Drosophila melanogaster: one gene and its partners. The protein of the gene in region 4 interacts with the protein of the main gene of each other region in a pairwise test. Each region holds a gene or a part of one and is shown on either strand. Other genes may lie near its edges.

Evidence for each region.
Region 1: the proteins of Baldspot (region 4) and Bx42 interact in a two-hybrid assay, tested with the Drosophila melanogaster proteins (one large-scale study listed by BioGRID).
Region 2: the proteins of Baldspot (region 4) and mgl interact in a two-hybrid assay, tested with the Drosophila melanogaster proteins (one large-scale study listed by BioGRID).
Region 3: the proteins of Baldspot (region 4) and Sec20 interact in a two-hybrid assay, tested with the Drosophila melanogaster proteins (one large-scale study listed by BioGRID).

Annotation. Positions count from the first base shown.
Region 1 is NC_004354.4:9,103,305-9,111,253, forward strand, and holds Bx42 (Bx42), read right to left. Parts: upstream 3,301-7,949; 5' UTR 3,144-3,300; coding exon 2,921-3,143; intron 2,654-2,920; coding exon 2,093-2,653; intron 2,028-2,092; coding exon 1,168-2,027; 3' UTR 566-1,167; downstream 1-565. Other genes in the region: Arfrp1 (ADP-ribosylation factor related protein 1), read left to right, coding at 3,841-3,933, 4,001-4,253, 4,372-4,628; AP-1gamma (adaptor protein complex 1, gamma subunit), read left to right, coding at 5,627-5,682, 7,778-7,839. UniProt on the Drosophila melanogaster protein: May play a role in chromatin structure and function.
Region 2 is NC_004354.4:9,495,024-9,502,719, reverse strand, and holds the start of mgl (megalin), read left to right. Parts: upstream 1-2,590; 5' UTR 2,591-2,846; intron 2,847-6,530; exon of another isoform or gene 6,531-6,744; intron 6,745-6,820; exon of another isoform or gene 6,821-7,046; intron 7,047-7,696.
Region 3 is NT_033777.3:5,819,841-5,827,396, forward strand, and holds Sec20 (secretory 20), read right to left. Parts: upstream 4,665-7,556; 5' UTR 4,602-4,664; coding exon 4,521-4,601; intron 4,468-4,520; coding exon 3,865-4,467; 3' UTR 2,508-3,864; coding exon of another isoform or gene 2,241-2,507; 3' UTR 2,186-2,240; downstream 1-2,185. Other genes in the region: Hpr1, read right to left, coding at 1-161, 220-506, 664-1,347, 1,415-1,492; CG46303 (uncharacterized protein), read left to right, coding at 2,241-2,507; dgrn (degringolade), read left to right, coding at 5,109-5,135, 5,196-5,604, 5,659-5,748, 5,965-6,398.
Region 4 is NT_037436.4:16,657,654-16,665,248, reverse strand, and holds the start of Baldspot (baldspot), read left to right. Parts: upstream 1-3,633; 5' UTR 3,634-3,778; exon of another isoform or gene 3,779-3,838; intron 3,839-5,782; 5' UTR 5,783-5,837; coding exon 5,838-6,019; intron 6,020-7,595. Other genes in the region: Galphaf (G protein alpha subunit f), read left to right, coding at 1-169, 340-508, 1,510-1,607, 1,701-2,400. UniProt on the Drosophila melanogaster protein: Catalyzes the first and rate-limiting reaction of the four reactions that constitute the long-chain fatty acids elongation cycle. This process allows the addition of 2 carbons to the chain of long- and very long-chain fatty acids (VLCFAs) per cycle.

The DNA of each region.
Region 1 (7,949 bases), on a different chromosome or scaffold from region 4:
AGAGTTTATTTTGATTCTAGAAAAGGTCAGCTGCGAGGGCTATATAATATGGGATTACTGCTGCTTGGGCGTATGGAATAGGGTGCCTTCGATGATATGATTGTTGTTTACCATCCACGACGCGGGCACGCTCAACTTACATAATATCAGATCGGTTGGGATCGCTGTGGATCGTTTGTTGTGGTTCGGCGGAGTGGAGGAGGTGGTGCTAGAATCCCAGAGCTCCTCGGAACACCTCGCGGCCGCTAGAAGCCGTTGAATCCGTGGAATTCGCCGCGAGGACAGCGCATTCTCTCCGGGATGCGGCGGATGGCGGTGTGGACCGTTGCCGTTCGAGTTTCGACGTTGGGCTGCTCACTTATTTGCGAATAAATCGAATAAAATTGCAATTAAACTAATGCAACTAAAGTCAACTCAATGTCACACAGTGTGACCAGCGTGCGTGCGGACGATAAAGCTGCTCTAAAAATACCGGCGAAATACTGTTTTTCATTTATATTTTGCGTAGTGAACAAATTTGCAAGTTTAAGAAAACATAATTTGGAATAATATATGTAGGCAGGGTGACAGTCAATTACTGTTACATTTAATCAAGTACCTTAGGATTGGTTATTTCTTAAATACATTATTTGCATTCCTATTAATTTAACGGAATTCAACGGAGTGGTATAACACTACAAAAAAGGTCCGCTAGAAAGCTTATTGGCAAAAGAGGGTCACTTTATTCTTTGATTATAGGCGCCAAAAAGATGGTCATCATATTTTAAAAGTTTCTATCATACTATTGCTTATTTTGTATTATATTCTAGATCCGGAAGCCAGTATCCTTGCTCCCTCGGCTTATACCTTCTCCCGCATGGATGCGCACGTGAAGAGCAATCAAACCATCGCCGTATGTGGTCACACCACTGATCTTTCACTGACCAATCTGTGATTCTGGATCGGATGTGTGCTGATTGAGGTTCCTCCAAGCGCACTTATGCCAAATAACCCGTAATTACACATTCATGTTTATGTCAAGATCCTGTGATTATTATTGAAATTCTCGCCAAGTTGTTGGAGTAGTTAAAAAAAACGTTTGTTTGGTTGGTGAATGGTGAATAGTGTTTGCAATGATGATGATGACGATACAACGATGATTGGTAATCCTCACGCTAAAGCTTTTGTCTAATCGCGCTTGCTGCGCTTGCGATCCGAATGGCTGCTGCGCTCGTTGTTCTTCTCCTCGGCACGCTTGGGCGCCTTTTTGGCCATGTTCAAGAACTGATCGAGACCGAAGGGATCCTCCTCCTTCTCGAACTCAACGGGTCCACTCCTCTGGCCAGCGGCCGCCTCCTTGGAGGCACCGGAGAACTGCTTGTCTGGCACGAAACGCTTGGTATTTACAATGGCATCCAGATCACCGCCGTAGTTATCGCTATCCGCCTGCTTGCTGGGTCGGTAGATGTGAGCGCCCAGTGTATTGGAATCGCGCCACGGCTTGTCGTACACATTGTACGCTTCGTCATCACCGTAACCGGAGTCCATGCCCTTGGTGGTGTTGAATAGACGCTGATCGAAGAGCGTTTCACCGTTGCCGGCACTCTTGGCGGGCAGACCCAAAGCGATTTGCTCAGAAATGTCACGCTCCCTCTCCTTCTGCAGTTTCGATCGCTTTTCGGGAGCCGCCCGCTGCAGGTTTCTATCCCGCTGGCGCTCCCTTTGCCGCTCTGCCCGCAAGTCGTTGCGTTCACGCACCTCGGATCCTGTAGCTCCGGAACCAGATGGCTCGGCTGCCTCCGGATTGCGTAGTCCCGCTCGCTCTTCGCGAGCCCGCTGCGCCATCATACGCAGCATATCCTCCTTCTTCTCCTTCTCCTTTTGGGCCAGCTTCTTTTCCAGCTGGGAGCGTGCCTCCACCGCCTCGCGCGCCTTGCGATCGGCTATGTACAGCGCCTCGGCCATCTTGGCGAACTTCTCGTTGATGTGCACCTGCTGCAGACCGCGTCCATCGGCTGCCAGACGCTTGTCCAGTGGAATGGTGTAACCTGATATCGAGGCAAAGATTTAATTAGGATAATGAAGAGGATTCTAGTTTTACATTAGCTCGCACCTTTGGCGTTCTTCCAGTTCGATATGCAGGGCGGGATCTTCCACTCCTTTTGCTCCTTGACCGTCACCTTGCGCGATGGTGAGTGGAGGACAGGTGCCGGCGGCGATGGTGGACCTCGTGGAATCTTTTTGTTAATGCGGAACTTGGGCGGCTCCATCGGATCGAGCTGCGCCTCCACCATCCGGATGACACGCTGCTTGGCGCCCGAATTGAAGGTATCGCCCTGCTGCGAGGGCGTGTACCGAATGTACTGGGCGGGACCCGCCTTCTGGGCATGGCGCACGGGCAGCGCTGAGGTGATCTTCTGGTTGGTCAGCTTCTCCAGCGCCAGGCGCGTCTCCTCCGTCGTCTCCATCACCGTTTCCTCGTCCGGGCGCTGTAGTTCATCCGCATCTTCGGCCAACACCTCCGCCGGCAGCAGTTGCGAAATGGACGAGTACACAATCTTGTCCTTGCCATGTCCTTGGCGTGCTATGGCATCGTATTTAACCTTTCCCTTGTCGTCCAGGCGAACGGCCAGAGCATCCGACTTCTTGCCAACATTTCCTGGTGCTCCCAGACCTGTCGAGAAGATGAAGAAGACGCAGAAATTGTTTCAATTGAATAAGCCACGCTTCAAAATGCTGATCATAAAATACAAAAATACAACATTCTACAGCAAACGTTTAACTTAATGTGGTGGAAATTGAAGCCTTCTCGCTGTACAATCACCCACATATAAGAAGCTAATGGTTATTTCCCTTACGAGGACACCATTACCAACGAAAAACCGCGACAACATTGTTTGCAAGCACAGAGAAAGTGGGATTAGCACGAACGGGAACCCACCTAGTGGATATTGCGCCACATGGATCTCCGGGAAGGCGCCGCCATCGCCAAAGTCCGCATCCGTATGTGGTACCCAATCCTTACGCTGTCCGTACGGCGGAGCAGCGATTTTGGCGGAGACCAGGGCTCCGATCTTTGGTGCTCCGCGGGCGACCAGGCGACGCTCGTCCTCCCGATCCCAGATCGCGTTCGTCGGCGTGGGCAGCAGGCTTGATAGCGACATAGCTTATCTGTTATTTGTGGCGAATCAATTCTTATGTGAAATCACTTTTCAATATGCAAGCCACAAAAACTATAATGGAAAAGTCGAAAAAAAAAACACGCACGCACACGGACACACACAAGCGTACGGGTGTGTAGGGTTGCCAGACTGCTAATAAGAAAATGCTATAGAGTATGGTCCCTTTTAGGGATGGATTGCATATATTGCGTTTTTCTTAAGACGTAAGAAAACCAAATTGGTAGAAATAACAAAGCGATAGCTTTTTCCAAATTTGAACGCGAATCGGTAGTGGATTGGTAATGGTCATCAAACATCATCAAAATTTGCAAAAAATGGTCAAAAAATTGAATTTGCATTTTTGAACACAGTTTGATTTGAAATTTTATTACGAGCTTAACGAGGTATGACATTCCATATTTGGACCATTATTTCGAATGTTCTTATCAAAATACTACAATATGGTTTATAAAAATCAGGGGCAATCAGAGAAAATTTGAATAATTTATTTTTATTACCTTAACAGAACTGTGCAATACTTAAAAATATAATTTATAGACATCCCCCTAATAATTAGATAGATATAAGTGACACTTGCCCGATCGATACTATCGCATCGCCCTAGCCGCTGGCAGTGCCATCGCTAGCAGTTCAGTCAACAATTTAAGTTTTTGTTTTTGTTGGCCAAAAACACAATACAATGTACACATTGATGCACGGCTTCTACAAATACATGACTCAGAAGGACGACTACTGCGTGGTAATCCTGGGCCTGGACAATGCTGGCAAAACGGTAGGCAGCTGAATCATCCAATGAAAGCCTCATGTCCAATCGGAAACTAACACCTGTGCCCACGTAGACTTACCTGGAGGCCGCCAAGACCACGTTTACGCGTAACTATAAGGGCCTCAATCCGAGCAAGATCACGACGACGGTGGGCCTCAACATCGGCACCATCGACGTGCAGGGCGTACGCCTCAACTTCTGGGATCTTGGTGGCCAGCAGGAGCTGCAATCTCTCTGGGATAAGTACTACCAGGAGTCGCATGGCGTCATCTACGTGATTGATTCCAACGACAGGGAGCGCATGGAAGAGTCCAAAGCGATATTTGGTAAGCGAAAACAGTCTTCGAACTAATCCCTTGAACAAAACTCGTTTTGATCTATTCTGATGATCTCTGGTAAAAGGAAAAAGGTTCACCTAAAATGTGTTATTCTCTTTCCCCACAGACAAGATGATCAAGAACGAACTGCTGTCCGGAGTGCCTTTGCTAATCCTGGCCAACAAACAGGATCTGCCGGATGTGATGGGCGTGCGGGAGATCAAGCCAGTTTTCCAGCAGGCGGGTGCTTTAATCGGGCGGCGAGATTGCCTCACCATTCCCGTATCCGCGCTGCACGGCGAGGGCGTGGACGAGGGCATTAAGTGGCTGGTGGAGGCCATCAAACGACATGCGGTGGTGCGGCCGCCGCGGGAAAACGATTAGAAGATCAAGCAGAAGACATCTGGGCCTGGTAGTCGGCCCTCCACTGGCTTTAATTAGACATGTACTTTTGTAAGTTAGGGGCTTAGGATAACGCTTATTTGTAATTAGCCAGACGAGATTGCGAGATACCAATTGTAAAGATGCGTTGTCATTATTTGCAAAGACCTTTCTTTTCGGTTAACTACTGCTGAGAAAATGAGGAAAACAATGTTAGAAAGCTGTGAGACTTCTGCATAGGACAACGAATTACAAATACTATTGTTAGAATAACAAAGAACGCAATGCTTATTAGCCAATTAAGTGCAAGAACTATAAATTCAGAAGTACTTGAAGATGTATTTGAAGAAGTACTTTGTTCTGTTAATAACCCAGATACATGGGTATTTGGATGCCAAAAATGTAATAAAACTGAATCCATTCGCAGCTGTTATGGTTAATCGTTAGCCACAAAGTGTGTGGGCGATTCGAGGTCCACCAAAATCGGGAGAGTCGCTTCTTTATCTAACAGCACTGCACTCGTAGTACACCTCGATATGGCGGTTGTCAATGGGGCTCCGCTTATCCGAACCGAACGACACCGAACCGCGGAAAGAAACAACCAGCAAACAGACGGGATTGTGGTGTTCTCACGGCGGGGGGAGCATTATTATTACCATTATCAGTCCGATAGATAAGTGCTGTGTGTGCCACCAAAAAGCAAAGGCGGAGGAAAATGAAAATGAACTAAAAACAACACCTGGTGAGTGGCACTGGAATCGTCAGTCTTCCGCAGGAGTTTCCACCGCTCGGACTGGAAATGATCGGCCGCCAGCAAGGGCTAGATAGCTAGACCTCGAGCCAGAGCTAGAGAAAAGAAGAGCGTTACCTGTTAATTATTAGTGTACATTAGATAAGGCCTATGTGAAGCACTCGCCGCTTATCGCTGCCATTCCCATACCCGAACGCGCTCCCGCTCCCATTCCATTCGGTTTAGTTCCGTGCTCCAGTGAGAAGCCACCATGTATCCGTATTACGAGCAGGACTGGAGCGTTCTGCCGCCGGAGAACAATCGCAGGTGAGATGAAATCCCGCCCGGTGCTCGTTCATACCCTTAAAGATTCGCCAGTCGATCTTTAGAAAATGAGACTTTTGAAAGTGTTTTTCAAAAATGACGTTATCGCAGTGTGACCGTCCATTGACCGCTCTGCATAGCGGTATTTTTTTTTTATTTGTGCTGTGGTGTGGCAAAAGAAAATCGTTGAATCACCCTGTGTAAATGCAATTTATTGTCCCCCTATTATCTCTTTTATTTTGGTAAAACTGCCCCTTCTCTACTGGCATTCCATGTGAGTTGTTGCGGTTCGAATGCAATGCCATGGAAATATAATTAAGTGCATCTTTTACTTTGATAAGGCAATCAAATTAACTGAACGAATATTAAACTCAAACTGTTACTTATCTCTCAGATAAACACAATTAATTTGTAATGATTTATGCCTCAGTCTTGATATTTTCCGTATAACTATTTGTTTGGTTGATAAATCATTGAATACCTACCCACTGTGCCATCAAATGCGCTAACGCCTATCAGCGCGAGGCGTTAATGCCTTTTGCGCACACTGCTTGTAAATATCGCGCTCTCGCTCGCACCCACTACCACTGTTGCGCTCATCATCAACATATTCTCGACGAAACATTTTTTTTTACTTGTTACGTTGATTTTGTGGCGTTTAAAATAGCGATTAACCAGCGCCAAGTTGGCCCAGCGAACATGTGCTAAAGCGTAAATGCAGTGCTAGAATAGGCATTTATTCAATTGCAGAATCATTCCAGTTAAAAGCGAAGGTGTGTGCGTGTACTTGCGACGACGGGCCGTGTGTGTTGAAATTTTTTTTTTAGTTTTTGTCGCGTTGTTAAATTTTATAGTTGAAAAAAGCTAACGTGTTTCCTGATTATTCATTAACAAAAAAAACGTAACGCCGCCAAGTGCGCGAATGCATCCAATTTGTTAAAACGGAAATGCCCGTTGAAAAGTGTGCCATAGATTTTCCTGCCCTTTTCTTGTTGGCCCAAAAGGCATGCATGAGTGTATATATGTGTGTGTGTGCGTGAGCAAGTGTGTGTAGGCCTTCCAGCGAATCGCATAAATTAGCAGGCGAAAAATCACATTGAAAACAAACGAGGAAAGCTCGCAAGAAAAAAACCCTACGTGTTAAATATATACTATAGGGTATATAGGAGTGACGTTATTTCATGACTTTTTAATGCAATCGATATGTATGTATGTATGTCAGTTATGCTATCGCTGGCAGCTGTTTTCGTTTTTTGCCCAGTTCACTTAATAAAATATTAAGTGGACATCAGTAAACAAGTTGGATTTTTCGGGCTTACTGCTTCTCCTTTTCCAATTGGAAACCCTTTGCGCGCGTATGAATGTCTCTATTAATGTGTGTGCGTGTGTGTGCATTAATCATTTAATCAATTTGCATTGCGCTCCAAACTAAAGTGAATAAAGCACAGTAATTTGTTGTTGCCTTGGCCAGAAAGAGAGATCAAACGTATTTGTTTGAGCCAACTCACACACACCCACACCCATGCACGCATCTGAGATGTCAGTTTCATAACAACAGCGATCTACTTTATGTCAGCGGTAATTGTACCTGCTTTTATTTAAACTATTCAGCTTATTTTTTCCAATTCCATTAGCTTGGAAAGAGAGCAAGCGAGAGAAGGATAGAGAGTAGGAGAGCAAGTGCAACAAAATAGCGGCCGGCTGTTATTCCCTGTGTGTGTGTGTGCGCGCGTGTGTGTGCGTTTGTGTGGGAGTGCAGGTGTGTGTGCGCGGAAGATCTGCAGAGGAAAAACCGTTATTTCGTTTCGCTAATTTGTGTTGTTGCCCCGCCGCAACAGCAACAAAAAGAAAACAGAAGAGCACATAAGCCGGCAAATAGTTAACAAAACCAGACGTAATAGAATATAATAATAATAACAAAAATATAAATAAAAATACGAACCAGTAAAAGAAGGAGCAAAAAAAAGGCTGCCACACAAGTGATTCAACGTTTCTCGTCGCCACAATGAACTCCGAGCATGGGTAGGATCCTAAACAGCAGTGCAAACATCCCTAGAATTATGCCCATATAAACCCATTTAACCTCTTCCTCCGGCAGATTTAATCCAGCCTTCAATATGGCCACCATACGGCAAGCATTCACAGAGGCGGTGGAGAGAGGTAAGTCCAAGACAGTGAACACCACTTGGTAGATTGCTCCAATAAGAAGATGATCGTGTGCTTGTGATCACCCAAAAGGTGGCTACAAGTACGCTGCACTCCTTATTCAT
Region 2 (7,696 bases), on a different chromosome or scaffold from region 4:
CAGTAGACTTAAGAATACAATGATTAAATAAAGAAAACGATTTCCTTACATTAACATTGGTGTAACATTTTTCGGAAAAGCTCTTTTGGCTTAACAGAAGTTGTTGAAGGAAATAGAAAAGCTTTTAACGGTCACTTTCCCAAGTCACAGTAACACTGCTTTCTGCAAAAGCTTAAAGCTTAAAAGTGTTAGCTTTTTGAAGCTGTTAAAAGTCGATATTATAGGTTTATTTTGGCTTAAACCAATAAACCAGAGTGAAATGCTGGCTAAAAGCTGTGGTCGTTTAAGCTTTATTTTTAAACGGATTTCCGTTTTTTTTGCTAAGCAAAGGTTATTTTTCCCCTGGGTTACGTGGAAAATAGCTTGTTGAAAAAATATAACATCAGTTAACCAACTTGTGTCGTGTTAACGTGTCAAACTTTTCCAATTACTCACATGCACTTGGGCTCACCCAAATAATTTACCTTATATCATATCCGTTGCATCCAGTTACATATCCGGAACAATAGTTAAACCAATTTCGAGATTAACAACACGATTAGTACGTATAGTTAATATCTACGTGGTTTCTGATTATTCAATAAATAACTTAGGAAATGTTATGGTTGGTGGGGAATTTCTTGAAATAAAAACTTTATTATTTTTGATATAATATTTAAACATATTTTGATGTATTGGCTTAAGTTAATAAGTTCGCATATAATTTGTGTAAGCCAGTCATTTATTTGAATTGCGATCAAGTGTGCAACCTTGGCGCACTGCCCCCCACTCGAGAACATGCTCTACGGCTGTTTAAACTTTGGAGATGGTTAATAAATTTATTTTGTTTATTTTCGGCCGGGTCACGCTTTCCCCAAATGACCCTCGTCATAAAACGCGCGAGAATCTCTGGGTAAATATAAATATAAGAATTGCACGCTTTGGTTTTTGTGCATGAAAAGTTTACTTCGCATTTCGGTTTCGGCCAATTGTTTTTCTTGGCCCTATCACCTTTCACTGCGAAATATGTCTAAACGAGAATGTTTTGTGAATCCATTAAGACGCAATAGAGAATTTTCCTATAGCTCGTAGAGCGTTCGGTGATGTCTCCGCAGCACTGGATTGGAAATGTATATATCTTTCTACTTGGCCACCTGATAGGCGAAACAGCTTTTCCCCTTCGAAAATCTCAAATTGTTCAATTCCGCTTCCAAGAATGCGGAACGGCCAGCAGGCGGTCAGGCAAAAGTTTTTAGGAGCCGAAACAGCTGTTCATTTGGCTGGTGACTGACTTGCTCTGCAATTAAAGCGATTTTTTTCGCGGAAGAAGGCCCTATTCGAATAGTTTGGATACACTCGAATTCTTGGGAGTAAATATTGAAGAACTTCTTCAAAATTCTCCTGCTCAGTTCTAAAACCAAAACAATGGGATTTACTTAGGTTCCGTTTCATATGTGTGTGAGTGTAAGCTTGTACTTGAGAACAAGTGCGTTTATTTTTAGCCGAGTATTGAATTAATTTTCGTACGGACTTGTAAAGGAGCTTACATTATTTTCGTAGAGCAACCTGGCAACCTGTTGAAGGGGCTTGCAACTCGAACCGCGTTCGCTGCCAGCATCGAGCACGTTGCACGTGGCAAGCAGCAATTGTGTGTTTACTCAATATTCTCGGCGTGCCGCAGATTGTGCCTTCCAGAAAGCAAAATAAACAAATAAAAGTTCCATGAAAAGGTATCATTTGTCAAGCGACAGCCGACAAATGAATACACATATGCATGTATGTATGTATGTATGTATGTCCTATGTACCCAACGACTTAGCGGCTTAAGTAGCTGCTCTAAATAATAAATTCAATTGTAATCAGAATCGTTTATGTAAATATTCAAATCGTCAATTTACCCGGACAGAGAGTGAGATAGAGAGAGTGTAAGAGTGTGACGTGGGGGGGGGGGGGGGTGGAATTGTCCTCCAATAATCCGCGAGGCAAGCAAAAGTCTGGGAGGGGGGGGGGTGGCAGGTGTAGATAAGCACCCCATTAAGACAACAATAAGCTCAACAAGTTGTTCTGGAAAACTGTCAATTAGAACCACCAACACGCACTGTGGCAGCAACAATTGTTCGAATGAAAACACAACATGCTGCATGTTGCACGCTCGAACATAGCCTTGCCATGGAATCGATGTTGCATCAGAGGTGTAGATGGGGGCTATTAGGAATTGCAGCGTAACTAAATAGTATTAGAACTTAAACGCAGAGCAGAGAACAAAGAAATGTGCACTCCGAAGCTGCGGAGTTCTCAAATAAAATGAAGCTAGCATTTTAGTAGAACTATTACTTGCTATTAAGTATGTACAATAATCTCAATAATAAGAACTAAATAATAATAATGAATTGGTTTGATGATGAAGCAAGCTCCTTGGGCAGTCATGAGCATACCAATGCAATTCTTTCGCTCTCGAAAGCGGCGCCTCTGTTTGAAGTCGCACTGCCTGTGAGTAGCGGCTGCAACGCAACATGTTCGATGGTTCGATGGTTCGAAGGTTCGATGCCTTCGGTTTTGGTTGGGCGGCGAGTGGGCTGCGCTAGCATCCGCTGGTCAGTCGCTCGCGGAGCGTCGTCGTGAACGGTCAGCCAGCGCGGCTAATAAGTAACCAACTGTAGTGACAGTGCGATAGTGACTCTGATCCGAACCCGAATCCCAGGCCCACAACAGATACGTCCAGCGTGTGGGCAGCCAGAACAGAGTGACAAGAATATCGGAGCCGACAACAACAGTAAACTGAAAGATAGAAAGAAAGAAAGAAAGGCCAACCTGCCGATTAAATTCCAATTGAGTGTTACGAGTTTTTTTTTCGAGTGAGTGCGGCGGTAAATATTTCGATCTTCTTCCCTTTTTTTTTTTTTTGCTGTGCCACCAACAGAAACCGAAAAATGCAAAAATTAAAAACCAATCAGTGAAAATCGCCAAAATTGCCAAAATATCAAATAGAAAAATATGGAAAATAGTTGAATCGAAGAAACGCAGACCGCAAAAATTTATAGAAAGAAAACAAACACACAACACACACACAAAGAAAAAACAAAAGGGGCAGACAGAAAGAAAGCGCTTTTATTATTTTATTTAACGATTTTTCTTCTTGCAATTTTTATTTTGCACACTTTGTTGTTGGGTCAGTCAGTTGGCGGCTTTCGCCACTTTACGAGCAACTTCCTTTTTTGGCCGGAGAAAAACCAGTCTGGCCAAGAGACCAAAAGACCCCTGGCCAAAAGACGTCGGTCGGTGGGCACCAAACACTGCGAATGTAAACAAAACAGCAGCAAACCGTATTTGTTTATGACTCGGCTTGGCCAGGATAAAGCCCAGAGACTTTGAGACCAACTAAATCCCACACCCCCAACCGCCAATCCCGCCCTCACCAAAAATATGATTTGCTAGCATTTCCCCCCATTCCCCGGCCGAGATTCTCAAGTGCGAGAGTTGCAAAAAAAAATGTGGTCCCCCCTCCCCCCTTTTATTGCCGCACCGCGTTGAAACGACACCCGGTGAAAGTTTCCCAGTCGCAACTTAGAACTCTCTTCATTTTCGGGTTTCTTTATTTTTTGCTTGATAAATGAGTCGCTGGCATAGCCCCCGGGGCGGTAAATCATCTCTGCTTGTGGCACTGACAATTTCACAAATTTATATATTTGCCACAACAACCGACCGAAACACTCACAGTCGAAAGTTTTCCACTTCGAGTGCAAATTTGACTGGCTTGGAAAAGTCCAGGCGAGCAAATTGGCCAGAGGTGTTGCCAACGAAAAAAAAAAAAAAAAATGAATTGGTAACGAAAACAATTGACGAAATCGGAAGTGACAGCATGATAGTTCAAGTTCAAACACGCATAATAACTTCATTGAAAACTGTAAACTTGAGAGTAAACAATAGTTTTCAAAGATTTCACGAAGTGTCTTCAGTTCAGCATATTAAATATACCCAAATACGGTTTCAAATTGACATAGATTAGTAATTTAACATAGGAACAGTTAAAAAAGTTAACCAGCTGGTGTGATAATATCTATGAAATTGTTGGTTTCTGGAACTTGAGAGATTCGCAAGTTCTAGCAAGCAGCGGTTGTTAATGCATATGAATACGAGACATCGAGCAATTTCGAAGATATTCCACGCCAGTTATCGCCCCCCCCGCCAGTAACTGGAGGCCAGCTCTAGCTCCCATTTTTAACTGGTTACCCCGCTCGAGAATTCACCATGTCGGCTCTCGGTTTTTTCCTTCGCTTTTCGCTTACTCCACACAACACAAATCGAATTGAATGGCAATCTGGAATATGCCAGGCAGATCCAATTGCATGCCACATATGCAGATGTAATGGGAGAGTTGGCCCACTCGCCACCCCCTTGTAAGCCCCCATCGAAACACCAACACACCCCCCCCCCCCCGGCCGCTTACAAAAATTAAGCCCCCTTAGCCGCCCCGCCAACTGTACCGCTGATCTGCTTGCCTCATTGCCGGTTAGAAAGCCAATGGAACGAGTTTCGTTGAGTGTGCAACTAATTTTCTAAATTGTTGTCGCTGCTGATCGTTGAGCGTGGCAAAAAAAAAGTAAATAAATAAAAAATACACACATTATTTATATGGCCAACGTCGCACAAAGAAATTATCTGTCACCAACATTGGTCATCAATTTTGATGGGTTTTCGGCGTCTAGAATAAGCCCTTTTATCACTGACGTTTTAATCAGATCTCTTCTTCAGAAGTATACAAAATCACGGTATGATCTTGCTTGAAGATGATTTCATTTTGCTAAAACGTGTTTTAATTCACTTTTAAATCATGAATCATAAATATAGGTATTTATGTGACTATTTTATATAGGGTAATACGATAATACAGAATCGTATATACGTACGTACTTTTGTAAAATAAAAAAAATTTAAAAACGGAATAATAAAATGTATATTTATGGAAATTTTTGAACGATGGCATATTTAAATAGATAAATAATTATGAGAGTGTGGGTGATAAGGCAAAGATTTTAGATTCAAAACCATCCATTCATCATTGCGAAGATCGAACTGTCATTTTTGCGATTGATTGATTGAATTTTAATAAAAGTCTTTGAAGTCGGACTTATTTATTATTTTTTTTTTTTATTGGGTTTTTCTTCTCTTGCGAGTGCGTCGTCATCATTTAATGGTGAAGATAGAAGAAGAATTATCCGAGCCCATAGAAGGCGAAGAAGAGGAAGAAGACAGGGCTAAAGAGACAGAGCGAGAAAGAGAGTAGGAGAAAGGGAGAGAGGGATAGAGAAATGTTAATGGATTAGGAAGCGAGCTCAAAAGGCAGCGTAGAAGAAGAATCGAATCTCGGCTACTTGCGACATTAGCCCTCTCCCTCCCACTCCCGCCCGATGAAGGCGGGCGCGAAAGAGAGGGGACGAGAGGGAGAGCGAGAGCGGAATTGAATGGCCAAAGGAAAGGTGAAAAGAGGCAACTTGGCTTAGACGATGATGATGACTGTTTCTTCTGTTTGTGTACGTATGTGTGTGTGTGTGTGCGGACAAACAGGTATCACGCACACACCTACAGACACACTCACACCTGTGCGGAATAACTAAGCAGCGACCCGATTTTCAACAGAGAGCCAGTGAGAGAGATAAGAAGAGAAGAAACAGAGCCAAGAATCCGATCCATGCCATGCGCCTAAAACTATTACAAATCTATAACAAATCTACCACGAATCTACAAACCACAAGAGATCTTTTCACAGATCAATTTTATTGGGATTATTCAAAAATTTCCAGTTTCTGTAGTGGGGTGATTAAAGGAACCTGCATATATGTTAAATGTTTCAAGTCATTTCATTTCATTTTTATTTTAATATTTTAAATCACATTTCTTGTGACACGTGTTACTTCAAAGATTATCCATCAATGTAATTTGTTGATAACTTATCTTTTACATTAGACAATAAAATAAATTGCGTTCCATTTAACAATCAAACGATTTGGTAGTAAAAAGGTATGAAACTCCAACGATATTATGACTACGTTTTCGTTTTGAATAGATAAAAGTGCTTCTGTTAGCTTTCTGATTCTTCTAATTAGTTATTTCAATTCCGATTGATGGAGTTATATTCTTAGGCTCTGCCTTGCATACATAGTATATCTCTAAGCTACATATATATATATAGGCCGAAAACCAATATGCAAAAACCAGAAACAAGTAGTCTTCATATGTAAAACTCTGTTCTCATTAAGTTCTGGACAGGTCATAATGATGTTTCGCCCCGTGTCGTTCCATCGTTCGCTCTGTCTCTTGTGTACTTGGATAAAATAAGATTTTTTTTGTGATTTTGCCGGTTGCCACACCTGAAATTCAGCTCTCTCTCCCTCTCTCTCTCTCTCTCGCTTGCGCCAACGCAGCAGCAGCAAGAACAAGAACGACCAAAACGAAAGACTTAAACGACATACGTGTCTCGCGCTGACGTCGCCGCTCTCTCTCTCGCTCTTTCTCTCATCCTCTCTCGCTCTCTGATTGCTGTGTTTTTTTTTTCAGTTGGTTTCCAAAGGCGCGCCGTCGCAGTTCGAAAACCGCGGCTCTCGCCAGCAAAATAAAAAAAAAAACAACAGCAATTTAATTTAAATAATTACAAAAGAGTCTATTTAAGAAAAAACCTTCTCGAAGAAAGGCAAGAAGAAAAATGGCGCGCGTTCAACAAAGAGAAAATTAGAAACGAAAACGATTTTTTTTTCAAGTGCTGACAAAGTTTGTGTTTTGTTTTCTTTATTTTTTTTGTTTTTGTGTTTGCCCTTTTGCCTGTTTCGTTTTCGGTGTTTCTGTTTTGGTTCTGTTTTTTTTCCATATTTTCTCTATTTTACCTGTTGCATTGGCCTGCCACCAACAACAACAAGAAGAAAGCAACAACAAAAGGATATATTAAGAAAATTTGTAAAGAAAAGTGCCAGCACAAGGATTTTTGCTCTCTCTCTCGCACGATGCTGCTCTCTCGCTCACGCTCGTTCTCTCGCTCTCTGTCTGGATTACGCTCTTCTTTTTGCCAGTGACAGGTAAGCAAAAACAATAACAACCAGAAAATCAGAAAAAAGAAAAACAATTTTCTTGTAATTTTAATTGGAAAACGTGTTACGTTGCACACACAAAAATGTGGAAAACCACCGAAGAAAATCGTTTGAAATTTTTTTTTTTAGACAAACGAAGACATGTGAACCAGAAAAAGAAGAAGCTGTCTCTTGCCGGTCGAGCGGTAAATTAAGTTGTCCCAATCCCCCACACACGACCGCCCCTCCCCCCCATCCAATAGCACTAACTGGCACTCTCTGGTACTTTCTGTACCATCTGTAACTCGGGCTCGGAACGTATTCAATTAGCCAGTTTTGGTATGCAGCATTCTTTTGAGCTACCGAATATATAAGCACTGTGCTTTTTAAGAAAAACTCTTTTTATAGCCAGCCAACTCGAATTTTCCACATGCAACTGGTCAAGGCGAAATATTAATGAGTACAGAATACTAATCAGTAAATATTTTTTCACACCAATACAAGATTTTAGTAACAGCTGTCGAATGATTTCCAGTAGCCATTTATAATGGGTAGATTTTAAAGCTGTTGGTTATGCGTATCCTTTAAATCCTTTAGAAATCCTTTAACATCTTTTAAAGGTATCCTCAAGTCGCTTCTTAAAGGCTCTTTTTAACTTG
Region 3 (7,556 bases), on a different chromosome or scaffold from region 4:
CGTTCTTCCAGTTGTTCCACATCTCTTCGCGGGCCAGCATGTGATACACTGTCCGTGAAAACCGCTTACCGTACGGTGGTGTCTCCTCTAGCAACTTATAAACACGCGACTCTGTTTCCTTGATAAAGTCCGCCTGGTCTGCAGTCAAGGTTTGAGTATCACTGAAAGTACAATCATTAAAGTTTGTTCGTTTTCCCTGGACTTTCTTCATATTCGAACCTTTTAAACTTTACACTGACTTGCAGGTACTGAAATAGAATTAGAAACTGCACCAGAACAGCACGTCGAAAATTAGCGTCGGAGAGCTGCAGAGCCAAAAGCTTGGGATTGGTTAGAAACTTGGCGAAGAAGTGATTCGCCTTGATGACGGAAGACACCGCCGTGGTGTCTACTGCCTCCTCGTCCACATCCATTGCTTGGTCAGTACCGCTCGCATTTTCGTTGCTACTTTGGCGCACGTCTTCCAGCTTGAAGCTCGAGAAGGACTGTAGTATGTTGTCAGCGTGCTGGAAGGGGAAAGTAACAATATATGAATATGAACCAACATGGGGCAGGATTATTAATAACCAATATTTATGAGCAAGCTAGCTGGCAAACATCTTTGATCTCTTTCCAAGATATATATATATTCTACAATTGTAATTGTGCCAAGCCACTGCTTACCATCTGGAACATCTTCCACTGCGGCTTATTGTAACACTGGTTGGGATTTCGGAAAAAGTCCTGCAGCGACCAAAACTTGCAGTACAGGTCGTAGTCGATCTTTAGGGGGATGTCCTCAGCGGTATCCTCCAGCTCCTTGTTGTCGCTTTCGTCGTGGTCTTTGCTGTCCAGACCGTACTCCGTAAAGTTGTCCAGGTTGAATTCGGAGACGATGTTGAGGCCAGACCGCTCCGAAAAGGGAAAGAACTTTGAGAGGAAAAGCTGGATGCGGCCACAGAAGACGGTGTTCTGGGTGCGCGAAAGTCGACGCAGCAGGTCGTTGCACATGCGTAGAATGTTGTTCTTGCATGAGGAAAAGAAGATCTCCTCCTTCCACACCTCCACCATATCCTCGACAAACTGAAATATCTTCTGGCACTTGTCCAGAGTGACCACGTCGAAGGTGTCGATCAGCAGAACCACGGGTATGGTGTTGGACACAATCTCGGCCCGCGTGGCTTCCACGGAGAGGCGTACAAGCTCTCCAATGCGACTCACATCTTCGTCCAGCCGCTTCATCAGGAGCACGCGGAACGCGTGGTCCATGGGTAAGCGCTTGTCGTGCTCGGTGTTGGCCGGGAATCTATTGTACTCCTTGACCAACAGCTCCACTTTGCCGTCGGTGATGGCCAATTCAAGGGCTTTCTGAAAATTATTATTTTCTATCAGATCGGAACATTGCCGGTTTCGGGGCCATTCATCAACGTTTTACCTCAAACGCCGACTGTAGCGCAAAGTAGTTGGCCAACTTCTCCGGAGCCGTGTTAGCCACTTCTACGGCGGTGCTCATATTGATTTAAATAATATTTTTGGCGACAACAGATAAAAACAATAAACTAATTTGTTTTTTCAATCAAAACATCACGAGTGCTGCCAACTCGTTTTGGTTAGTATATAATGCGCCGCTATAGTACTTTAAAGACCAAAAAATCGATGACAAATCGATTATAATTTTTTTTAGGCGCCTGTAAGTTAGTTTTTTTAAAAAAGTGTTTTTTTTTTTTTGTTAGCAAAATTTGTCCTTTTGCACCACATAAACCTGTTTTTGAAACACCAATTAGGTAATGAGGGTTTTTAGGTCCTATTCCTTAGAACATAATACTCTGTTTGTAAGCTTTTTTTTTCTTATTGACCCGAAAGACTTTTAAAAAAGCAACTACATAATATTTTTGTTAAATTGGTAACAAATATAATGAAAAAATATATTATTTTATTCTTCACTGCGATAAATAAAAATTGCATTTTAAATGCATTTCTCAAAATCGAATTTTTCTTATTAAACGTCAAAAACCACACATTGAATAAACTTTCATCATACATCAATTTAAAGGCCGAATGGTTTGTAGATAACGATAGCATTGAGCTGGGGCACGCGAACACTCCCGCTATCAGCTATTCCGACAATCACGCATAGATTTCAGATTCCAATTACTTTCCCACTGTGTGCGAGGTCGCACAAGCTTCATAAGTGCGCCAGGCGTATACAATGAGAATCGGGTACGGCTTTATTCCAAATCTTAAGCTCAGGCGAAGTGGCCATGCGCAAGTCGATTATATACATTCTGCTGTGGATTCTGGGGCTAAGCAGATTCTGCAGCAGCTCTGTGCTTAAAGAATTTTTTCCCGACTACAACTACCACAGGCCTTCTTGGTTCCAGTTCTATCCTGACTATTACAACAGAGGTTATTCCCAGCCACAGCCAGAAAGGCCTGCAAAATCGGCGCGGTCATACAAGGACATCTGCAGGTTGGTCAACACCAACGGATTCACAAACCCCGGAGGAGTGCCTAGGTGCCCTTACTAACTTGCTTAACATTTTTATCTACATATACAACACTCATATATTCTAAATAAAAATAAATTGCATTTACCATACTATACTAGGCTGTACCAAAGACACTAGAATAACAAGATGCGTAACGGCCATACATTGGTTTGGCACTATGCAGCCACTTTTTTGGTGACGGCCAAAATTACTCTCTTTCCGCTCACTCCCGCTTAGAGCGTAAGAAATCTAAAAATATAATTTGCTTGCTTGTGTGAGTAAAAACAAGAGACGAGAACGCGTATAAGTGTGCGTGTTGTGCTAGAAGACGATTTTCGGGCCGAAATCAATTCTGATCGAAGAAACGAATTTACATGGTACATATTAGGGTAGTTTTTGCCAATTTCCTAGCAATATGATAAAATAAAAAATTTTTAAAAATTCGCGCCCTGGCTATTATAATTTTAAAGCTTTTTTAAATTTCTTTGTTAAAATCGCCGCTCGAATTAGCTACCGTTTACACATTTGTATTTATGTTTAATTCTAATTTGTCTCTCATCTGACAATTTTTTAAAACCGAAATATTTTTTTTGAAACACTTTTAATGTTAATGTTACATCATATTAAGTCAAATGATTTAATAAATATACTAAATAATTAAATATGCAATTAAATTAAATTGCAAAAGTAATATCAAAGACAATAGAATTATTCTAGTGTCTTTGCTTTGTTCATATCTTGAGGCACGAAGTGCGGACACAAGCACTCAACAATCATTGCCTTATTAATTTTTCACACGCCGCAAGATGAATACTCTAATGACAAATATTCTTATATAAATTCATTTTTGAAATTTATTTTTGTGATAATATGTACATAGATTTGACTATTTCTAATCTATTTTCAAATAATAATAACGTTAAGGCAATGCAAAACAAGAATTTTTCGCATGGTGCCAATTGATAAAAAATAATATAGATTTAAAGCCAAAGAACTTCTAAGGTGAAGGGCATATTTTGTCAAATTTACAATGCATGTGAATACGTGTGCACACATACAGATGTCTGCTATCACTTTGTGCGTTGAAAAGAGCTGTTCGCTGTAGCGCTCTTCGCTCTCTCGCTCTCTAACAAAAATTCGAGAGAGCCTGGAGCCACCTCTAGAGCCACGGCCAAAAAATCGTGTGCCAAAAAATCGTATGGCGTTACGCATCTTGTTATTCTAGGGTCTTTGGCTGTACCACGTTTACAACTTAGGCAAATCACTAAATAATATAAATATAGGAGCTGTGCTTACAAGGTATGGTCATGTGCTAAGCTTAATCTAGCTATACCTAGACAACAGAAGCGACAACCTTAAGCTATTTTGGGAACGGGTTTTGTCCATTTGTGGAGTCTTAGAAGAGTCGCTTTTGGACGATGTAAAAGACACAGGCGAGGAACAAGGAGAAGGCGAAGAAGAGCAGCATTTTGTCAGTGCACTCGCGTCGTCCGTACTTTTTGAGCAGCTTGCCGGACATGCTAATGCTGCCGGCCGTGTGGTGCAGTTCGTCGCTGGTGGCCTCCACATTTTGCGACGAGGCCACGAGCGTTTCCAGGGTGATGGCGCTCTTCTGGGTGGTCTCCGAGAGGTGCCGCGATATAGCCAGCATCTTCTCGGTCACGTCGTTCTCCTGCGAAACCAGACTGCCCTGGTTGTGCCGCGCCCGTGTTGTGGTTCGTTGGCGTAGCTCACTCTCGCCGGTAATGGCCATTAACTCCTCCCGATTGGCCTTCTCGATCTCCAGCATCGTGGACACGTTTGCTTTTCGGAACGCCTGCAGCGTTTTGGAGAACTGATCACGGTGGTCGTCCACTTCATTGGCCAGCGCAGAGTCTGCCGTGTCCCGCGCCCAGTCGTCCAGCCGCTCGATGCTTTTGCGGATAGCAGACAGTTTGGAGCGGCCCGCTTCGTTCAGCTCCTCGAGTTCGGCGATGGAGGTGCGGCTGTTCAGGATGTCCTAAAAACAGAAGCTCGGTAATGAGGGTTTCTCTTCAGATAGCGGAGACTTACGTGTATTATTGCCTTAGCCTGCAGATTGTTATCGATAAGGTCCTGCCGTATGGCCTGTAATGTAAACGCATCCTTGTCCATGTCTCCAACTTTGTTTTGTTTCGAAAATATTCTATTATTCTGCTTTGGTGACGTGCATTTAACGTTAATTCCCGCAATTTTCTAACACTACCACGGCACGGTATATATCGATGGCATTTAATCGCCTAAAAAATATCGTTTACATAGTGATGGTATGGTTTTGTAATGTCGACATATTTATATACATTTCTTATAATTATTTTGTTATCAAAGAATTTCGCCGAAACGGAAATTTTATTTTTAATAAATTATTGATTTTTATTGAATTACAAGTGTCATTCTAAACAGCATTGTATAATACCGCAAAAATCGATAGTCGATCTTAAATCCTTGTTCCCGAATGTCCGTAAAGTGTCATCTTTAAAATAACCGAATGGTCGCGTGAAAGGAGGAAACTATTTTGCACATTTCAATCTGCACTAAAGCACATGTATATCTGGGTTCACCTGCTTTTGTCTTTACTACGAAATCATTTCACAAGTTTCCTGGTCATTTGTTGCTCGAACAATGTCAGATTCGACTATTTTCCGTTTTGTAAGTATACCCTGGACTTTAAACTAGTTAATTCCGATTTATGATTGATTTATTTAGTAGAACTCATCCATTCTTGATCAGTCAGCGGACAGCAACGTATCCAGTTCGAGCTCCAATTCCAGTGTATCCGACTCTTCTGTGGACTCCCATTCATCCATAGAATCCAATTCGGGACACAATACATCCGTGGAATCTCAGTCATCCGCGGAATCTGATTCATCCGCTGATTCCCATTCGTCCTTGGAACGCCCATCCCCAGTGGAGCGTGATTTATCTGTGGAATCAGACTCATCTTCAGCCACCAATACCAGCGAATCTTCAGTCGGAGAAGCTTCAAACCAACTGCAGTCACCGCAAAGCAATAACCCCTTAAATATGGCTAACTTGTCTGTCTCGACTGAAGATGCTCATTCGCAGATCAGATCACTTACCCAGGATGTGATCCAGATGGAAGCAGAGTTGGATCGCAGTATGTCACTCCATAATCATTACGAAGTTTTCTGTTAATTGTTTCATATTTCAGTGAATCGCTACTGCGAGGAAGTTGTGGCACAGATTGACACCTTCGCCACGAGAACCTCAACGCCAACAACTCGTAGAATTCGCCGCAGAAGTAAGTGCAGATCAAAATGAACGCATCTGGGTTTCACAATGAACAATGTTTTTAATTCCACAATAACCAATGACATAGTTCTTTCTATAACCCTGCCGGGTTACTTACTTTTGAAGGCAAAATTTATCTATATTTTTTAAAATTTTGTGAAAACCAGATAGCTTTCGCGGATAGAGCTAGCAATAAACCGAATACCGTTTCTTACTTTTTCCGTAGCGAGTCCAGTAGAAGTGATAGATCTGTCCCATTTGGACCGTGCACCACCTGTTCGATCCGCTCGGAATCGTGATCCCGATGCTTTCATCGATCTATGCACCCCCGAAGGCCCAAGAAGTCGCACAGTGAATCTTCACTCCAACGACTCCCTCACCATTCTGCCACGTCGGTCAGCCGAAAATGACCCGGTAGTGGATCTCGACGTTGCGTCGCCACCAAAACGCGTTAATCGCGACATTGATGAGTCCCAAAAAGAGGAGTTATACAAGTGCCCCATCTGCATGGACAGTGTATCGAAGCGCGAGCCAGTGTCAACCAAATGTGGACACGTCTTCTGCCGCGAATGCATCGAAACAGCCATCAGAGCTACGCACAAGTGCCCAATATGCAACAAGAAGCTGACCGCACGTCAATTCTTTCGCATTTACTTGTAAGTTGCTTATACTATTTCACATTTTTTGCTCTGTGAGCCTTAATATAATATAGTTTAAAAAAAAACGCTTAACTATGTTAGAGACGGCAAATAATGTCTGTTCTTGTGATTCAGAAAAAATTAGTTATTTAAGTTGTCCTATGTAATCAGTGGCGCCCAAAAATATTTGAATACAACTATAAAAACTAAAGACTTCACTTTTGATGTATGAAACCATCTCAGGCTAGAATAATATAAGAACGACCGAAAGGAGTGTCAAAGTATTATGTAGGCATTTTTCCAAACGCAATTTAACAATGTAACATACATATAATATAATAAATAAAATGGTCCCAACGCATATCAACAGGTTTGTCTCAATCTCATTTTTTATTGTTGGCTACTATTTTTTGAGACAGAAGTCAGACATGGAATTCTGAGATCATTAAAGGGTCGATAAAACAGGATAAATTGGAAACAGGTGGAACATGAAGTGTCTTTAAAGAGACTTTTTCCCTCCAATTTTGTATATATATAACAATATATTTTTTTTTTTTTAAACTTCATTCTATTTATTTTGGTTCCAAAAGGAATCGTTCGGTCAATTCCTCTGAACTTAACCTTATGTGTGTATAAAGGTATATTAGACCAAGTGGTTTCTTAATTATTAAGTACAAAAGGGAAAATGTATCTAGTTATTAATTACTTATTGTGTAAGGGTGTAGGGAGATCGGTGGGGTGTACCCTCTTCAGCCTTCGGAGGGAGATGGGATTAGATAGGCTATTTGCTAGTCGGTTCGGGTGGACCATAAGCCTGTCGGCATAACGGCTGCTGTGAAAATTAATCTGATCCCCAAGAGGGGTAACTTTCAGATCTCTTTCGATTACCTTGTTTGTCACGTACCAGGGGAGCCCAAAAGCACGACGTGCAGCTCTCGACTAGACGACACGGAGCCTATTGAGCTGGGATTTGGCGGCAGTTCCCCACACCTGGATGGCATAACTCCACGTTGGAGCAAGTATGGCTTTGATTAAAAGAGCCTTAGAGCTCACTTGTAGTTTGCTGGAGTGGAAGAGCCAGTCGAGCTTTTTTAGCTTCGCCAGTGACTAAAATTTGACCGACGTGATGTGGGCCCTCCAGGTCAGTCTCCGATCTAGATGAACTCCTAGGTAGTGCGAT
Region 4 (7,595 bases):
ACAAGGAGGATCAGTACCCGGTATCACTTGACCACCACGTGCTCAAGGACATGGCCAAGGGCGTGAGGGACACCACCGTTAAGATCCTGCTACTAGGCACCGCCGAGTCGGGCAAGACGACCATCATCAAGCAAATGCGGATACTGCACATCAACGGATTTACAGACGAGTAAGTTTGGCATTCCAATAACCATTGTACTATACTATATTATATTAAGTTTTAAATCAGTCCAAAAACAAACTGAATATTTCAAGTATTTTTTTTTTAAATATTTTTTTCTGGAATATATCTTTTTCAAAGCACATACTCAAGGTCTTAATTTTCTTTTTTCTTTACAGTGAACGGCGAGAGAAGATACCCGAGATATATCAGAACATCCACGAGTCCATCCTGCAATTGGTGGGTCAGATGGGAGTGCTGGGCATTGATTTCGGCAGCTGTACCAGCGAAAGATCGGCGGACTATATCCTCTCTCTGCCCGGATCGGCACCCGAATATATGAACGAGGTGAGTTTCGGAGTGGCACCTGGAGTGGTGCCCCCACTATCTGTATCTTATCCCTCGCTGCACTTCAAAGTCTGTTGTCGTGGTGTCGCAGTTTGAAATACATGCTCGTTGTGGCTGTCGAAAATCCGAGCAAACGACTTTGAAGTCAATCGCCGGACTTGCGTCAAATCTCCAACGGCTTTCGATCGAATTCGTGTTATCAGTAGCGGCGATTTGATTGATAGCGTGTCCATTGGGCGGCGTGGAATGTCTAAAAACTTTCCAAAACAAGTGTTTTGTAAATCGGACTTCCTGGCCCGGGCCTTATTGTATTATTTTGCTCTTTCCTTTTTTTTATTTCAAGTTTGCCGCAGCTGCAACGCTGCCTCTGAATGTGATTCATGTGGCGCAATCTGCTTTATCTTTCCGAAATTTATCTATGTACCTCTAACCAGTGGTCATTATATGGCTTACGATTAGATTACCAAGGCTGTTCAGGTCTCCAAGTGGGCGGGGCCTTTCCCAGATCTAGATGCCAGTCATTCATGGTTTTATGTTTTGCCAGTGAGTAATGCCAAGCATAAACAAAAGAAGTACCGAAGTTCGGATTCCCCTTGCTTTATGACTGACTGTTTGAATAGGTGACTCGAATACGTTCAGAGTTTTAAGTTAACTGAGGAAATAAATAATCATATCAGACCAAAATAGAGTATGTTTTTTGGAGGTTCTTATATTTTATTTTTAAGTTTAAAGTTGACTTTGTGCTGTTACTTTGATGTTGATGTTGATCATTCGTATGACAGTTGCAAAGTGACACAATCTTGGCGTTTATGATCCTTATCATATATTCAGCAAATAGAATTTTTTTAGACGGTTAGCTAGACAATTTTACTACCGGATTAGCTTTTCGTACTTGTCTGTCCAAGCGGCTTTTGCAATCTTCCGGTGAAGAGTTGATGTTATTTTCCATCACTGACTTGAAAACAATACTTAATTTTGGGTTACTTTTTTTGTATTTTTAGGAGTACTGCGACCACGTCACTACTTTGTGGAACGATGTGGGTATTCGCGCCTGCTATGATCGCTCAAATGAGTTTCCCCTGCTGGATAGTGCGAAATAGTAAGTATCTAATTGGATTGATTCAAAATCAGATTTCTTTCCCATTTATTCAAAAAAAAACCTTACTAAAGTTTGAATTTTTTTTTACCCCAGCTTCCTGGACAACTTTGTGCGGATCAGCGATGCTGAATACATACCCAGCACCGAGGACATTCTGCACAGCCGTAAGATCACCACCGGCATCTCGCAAATCACCTTCCGCGTACCCATTCCCAAGAGCATGGGTGGTGGCGAACAGCAGTTCCAAATGTACGATGTGGGTGGCCAAAGGGATCAGCGGAATAAGTGGATTCAGGTATTCGAAGGCATACAGGCCGTATTGTTCCTGATCTCGTGCAGCGAGTTCGATCAGAATCTGCGCGAGGATCCCAGCCAGAATCGTTTGCAGGAGGCTCTGAAGTTGTTCAGAGCCGTGTGGCAGAATCGTTTCCTCGCCTCCGCCGGATTGATCGTGTTCCTCAACAAGTACGACATCATGGAGCGAAAGATTCGGGCCGGCAAGCACATTGTGGACTACTTTCCCGAATACGAGGACTTCTGCAAGAGGCCGCAGCAGGACAATTGCTTTGGCGAGAGTGACTGGACGAAGATGTTCATCAAACAGAAGCTGGTGGATATCACACAGGAGCCGTTCAAGCGACACTCACGGAATCAGGTGGATCTGGGTACCTCGGAAAGGGAGTGCTACTACCACTTCACCGTCGCCACGGATACGCGATGCATCCGTGATGTCTTCTGCGATGTCCAGAAGATGATCCTCTCGGAGAACGTGTCCAGCATGGGCCTATTCTAGTCCAGATCCCGTTGCGGATCGGAGAGCTTCTCAATAAAGTTAAGGGAGGGCTGTCCTCAGGCCCCCACCAACTGTGATCTAGTAGGATATGACTTACATAAGTAGCCATGTAAGACCGTAGATCGTAGTGGCAACCGTATGTTGCACAATGGCTGGTACAACGCTTTAATATATTTAACTGCATTGGGTGTAGAGGAAGAATCCTCATACCGAATGCTCTCACTACTCCTTCAACCAATGTCTAAACTCTAATAGAATATAGCATCTACAATAAACCAAAACACACCCAGACAATTTGAGAATGAGTTTTAAATATTTTTGCACCCAAAGTTTGGGTATTTGGGTCCCATGCAACACAAAGTGTAGCATACTTCAAAGGGCACACACGCTTTGAGCGATCTGATGTTGCCATAGGAAAGGAAAAGAAACCATAGTTGTTTTACTTTTGATCAAAATAGTTTCCCATTCGGAATACACCATTCTACTCTTTATACAAGAATATATAAGCTTCGTATTAAAACATTTTAAAATATAAAAAACATATTGAAAGGCAAAAAGTCATAGTGATCTTTTACAAAATATGCGCTTCTTATTCAAATTAAAAAAAAAGCTTATTCCACTTAAATGCCGTTTATCGATCAGAGCGTTATATTTTGTACGGTCGGTCTTAAATTTAAATGATGGAATCCACATAGTTCTTTACCATCGCTTAACTAATAGCCAAGTTACACACCAATGAGCTGTGGTCCTTACCTAATACCCATTACTCGTAAAGTGATATGGTATTTAAGTTTTGTGTCTACGTATGCAACACGAACAAAGAATCGTTACTTTCAACCAAATCAAAAAGTTAAATAAAGATCGATCATCGTTTTAACTTTTACCAGCTTACGTTCTCCCCAAACATTTTAACGATTCATGTCGGTATAACCATAAAACAAAAATATTCCTGTATAACTCGCGATACTGTTTAATAATTTGGGCATACAAATGCATCTTGCTACGCTTAACCAAAGACACTAGTGGCTTAACTGTTCCTTGCAACATAAGTAAGTTTGACTAGTACCCAATAGGAGTGGAACCAGTGTGCATAGAGCTCCACCCGCACGCAGCTAGATGTGACCGCACGCGAGCCGCAGAAAAATACCGCGATGGCAAAAGTACCAGCGCCATGATTGGTACTAAAATATCTCCTATATATAAGTATAGCGATAAAGCAGCCGAACCGCCAGCTAAACGTTCAGTTCGCTTTGCGCCGGCAAATTCGATAGTTTTTTGAGTTTGCTGAACCGAGTCGCTGGGGCAGAAGTGTGTGACAGCCAGCCGTGTGTGTTGTGATCCAGCCAATTGATACTGCGATAAGAGGCGGCGAGCAAATGTAATTACCTCATAGACATCAGCGTTCGAAAATAGTAACCGTGTTTTCTGTGATATCTGTGTGAGTGCGTGTTCTCGTTGATGTTTTGCGGTGGTTTGGTTTCCTCCTTATTTTGCGCCCCTTTTTTCTCATCCGATGCTGCGAGAGAGAACGAAAGAGAGGAGAGGCAAAAACATATTTCCCAGACATTTGCTGATTTAACCGAGAACTTTATCGATTCAGCAGGAACCAGAATACGAATGGAAAAAATTCGGCAAAGATCGCGTGTTTTTGCGTGAGAGCAAAGTTAGGGCGAGGAGGGGCAGTTTGTTTTTCGGAAACATAAAAACCGCTAGGAGCATCGAAAAAATTTCACTAGAAATTTTTGAAAGCGCTCGCGCAAAAAACCGGATATGTTACTCAAAAAGAAACAACAGAAAAAGCTTCCAAATCAAACCAAAGCGAAGCTTATGGCAAAACGAAATCACCTGTGTGTGCGAGAGTGAGTGAGAGTGCGTAAAAGTGTGAGCGCGTCGAGTGTGTGTATGATTAGTCGCGTGTCTGGCATGCAATTAGGCATTCAAACTAATTTCCCTCCCACCGGCAAGTTGCCCTGTCTCATTTGTATTTTGCTGGGTTTCGCTGTTTGCTTATGCATTCCTTCAAGTTCTTTTAATTCGCACGAGACTTTCGTGGGCAGAGAAAAAGAGGAAGAGAGAGCGCGCCAGACTGGCGCTCTCTGTAAACTACCACAATTACACTTTCCGTTACAGCCACCCCCTCACTCATGTGCTCCCAGAACACTGTGAGAAAAGTGATGTAATAACGGGGTAGCTTACAGGACTCAGAGTGTCCCTGGATTCAGCTATTAGTATTGTGATTTCAAGATATAAAAGTAGAATGTTAAAAAAAACCAAACTCGGAGACTCCAAATGTATTTAATTTGTAGTTTTAGTGTAGTTTTTCGGCTAGAGATTTTGGGGATCTTAAAATTCTCACATTTAAATTAAATATTTAAAATAAAACTCATGCACATTTAACTAAACTTAATTATTAATGTCAAGATTTTACCTCCGATTGACGAGCAATGTTTCTCTTTGTGTATCAAGTTGTTTGTGTATCCATTTAAGCTTCAGCACGAGGTGTGAAAAGTGTGAAAAGCGGAAGAATGTAGATGAAGATAACCACAAAGCGTGCGCCATTCATGAAAGCGTTGCACATCCCTTGCAGAGTGAGCAAGAGCGGGAAGGTGTTTGAAGGGGTGTGAGAGGGAAGAAAGATTGAGTAAGAGAGAGCCATGGACCAACGGTGTTTTTTTTGTTGCCTGGCAAAATCAATGAAATGGATGAATGAGAGGAGGAGTGGTGTGGGACGAAGGGGAAAGGAAGGTCGCCGAGAAATTTATGCGACAAAACGCGGGCTTTTTATGTGCCTGATTGTGTGTGTGTGTGTGTGAGAGAGCGCGTGTGAGTTTTGATAAGGGGGAGTGGTGCGGAATTTTTACTGAATTAAGCTTTAAACATCGTCGTGTAAAATCCCCATTACTTAGGAAACAGATAAGATACTGCAATCAGTAAAAAAAACTAAAAACATTCGACTCGAAGATAAATTGTAGTTTTAATAATTAAAGAATGTTCCCATAAGTTAAAAAATTATATTCAAAGTGTTTTCCTTTTTGTGTGCCTATTTTAAAAGTACGTAATGTATAAAAAAACAAAGTCATACAGAGCAAAATGAGAAAATTTAAACCGTCCTAGTTCATTGGGTACTTTCAGTATATTATTTTATTTATTCAAATAAAACAGCTGTATAGCTCGATGTATATTTAAATTAGTTTTTAATCAGCAGAAGCTAAAACCTATTGTTAATATTAAATTAATATTAATTTAATAAAATCGTTCTGGTGTACGAATAGCTATTTCTAATACGAATAGCTATATTCCTTAACAAAGTTGTACAAGATCTTTGACAAGATAGTTCTGAGTACATTAACTAATCTATCTCTACTTTCTTGTCAATCCACAGCTGCATATAACCCAAGTAACATAGCCACCAACTCAAACACATAAAGCCCACCAAAATGATCAACATGGACATTAGCGTTACGCCCAATTACTCGTACATCTTCGACTTCGAGAACGATTTCATACACCAGCGGACGCGCAAATGGATGCTAGAGAACTGGACATGGGTGTTCTACTACTGCGGCATCTACATGCTGGTCATCTTCGGTGGTCAGCACTTTATGCAAAATCGGCCTAGGTGAGTCTGCCACACTGAACTGAACTATGTGAACTAAAGCAGTTTTGCGATTAAAAAACATGTGTTCTTTGGTGGCTTAGATAGACAATTCAGTGAAATAACGGTTGGGTTAAGAACTTGCGCCCTTTGGCCTTGGAAAATTATTAGCTGGCGGCCGGGGAGCGGCGTTAATTACACCCACAAGTGCACACGCCCCTTGCAGTCGGTAGAAACAACTTTGCTGTTTATCGAAACCAATCCCTGGAAACCCCTATATTGACTCAGTCGCGCTTTGTTTCGGTTTATTCTCCGGAAAGACTGGAGTCCAAGTGTACATTTGTTATTAGCCCAGACAGCTGTTGAGTTCCACGTGTAATTATATTAAATTACGGCTAATCAAACACTAATGTTGTAGGTGAATCCTCAACTCGGGCTCAAATAGCCAACAATTCGCATTCGCACCTGAGCACGCACTATTCAGGTGTATTTTCCGATGGCTAAAGACCTATTTGATTGGGTATTTTAACAATTTTTCCAACAGTCAGCGCTGTTTGTCCCCTCCTTGTTACCTGATTTACCTGTGGTGGATCCAATTGGCGGCTATTCGTGCTGGCAATTGTCTCGTTTCGATTCGCTTCGTTTTTGCCTATGATACTGTGTTTGCCTTCCTGCTTCTAATTGTCGTCATCGGGCTTTGTGGCCAAATTAAGTTGGGCTCGTGACATGCCATTTAGACAGTATTTTTGCAAGATCATAATTCAGTTTTGTCACCTGGTTTGGAGCTGTTTATAGCCTTGCTAAGGCCACTGTGAAATTCGGTAGAAAGTTGCTACCGTCTAACAGAAAAGTTTATTATTGTCCAACTGGGGAAAACGGGCTATATAAGTTCCTTCTGAGTATCTTTCGAAACATACGTCTTTGTATTCTAAAAAATGTTAGCTAGATAAGTCTATTTGATGTGGCTTTCCTAACCCTGAATTCCACATCATGATTCAATTGCTTGCATAATGTAATGTGGAGTAGCGATTCCTGCCCACACTCCGACCCAAAGCCATTGGGTTTTTGGATGAGTTATATAGGGGCTTGGCCCTGGGTTGCTTGGCGATTCTCTACGCGGACACTCGTCGGGGGATCTGTCGGTTAATTTTTCACTTTATTGTTGTTGGCTTTGCCTTACACTTGGCTTTTTCGGAATGTCATTTCAATATTTGCCCACATGGAGGAGAGTCGGCTAAGCAAATGGACGTATGTACTTGGTACAGAAAGGTGTGAATTTAGTGAAAATGCAGGCGTTTCTTTCGAACTGTTGGGGTTAAAAAACTGACAAGGTAAGGATGAATTGGGCAAATTAAAACGGATTGATTTCCGCTTGCTCAGCATGGCTACTTAACTTCTTGAATACTCAAACACATGCATGAATATTCAATATTTGACGTTTTCCAAACCATGCCATGTTTAAGAATCTCTAATTAGCAACCACGGTTCTGAACAGCGTGTCAAAATTAATCGCAAACTTTGAAAGAATGCAAATGCACCTGACCGCATGCCACCGACTGTACATTTACATATTTAGAGAGTGGACTTCCCGCTTGCATTC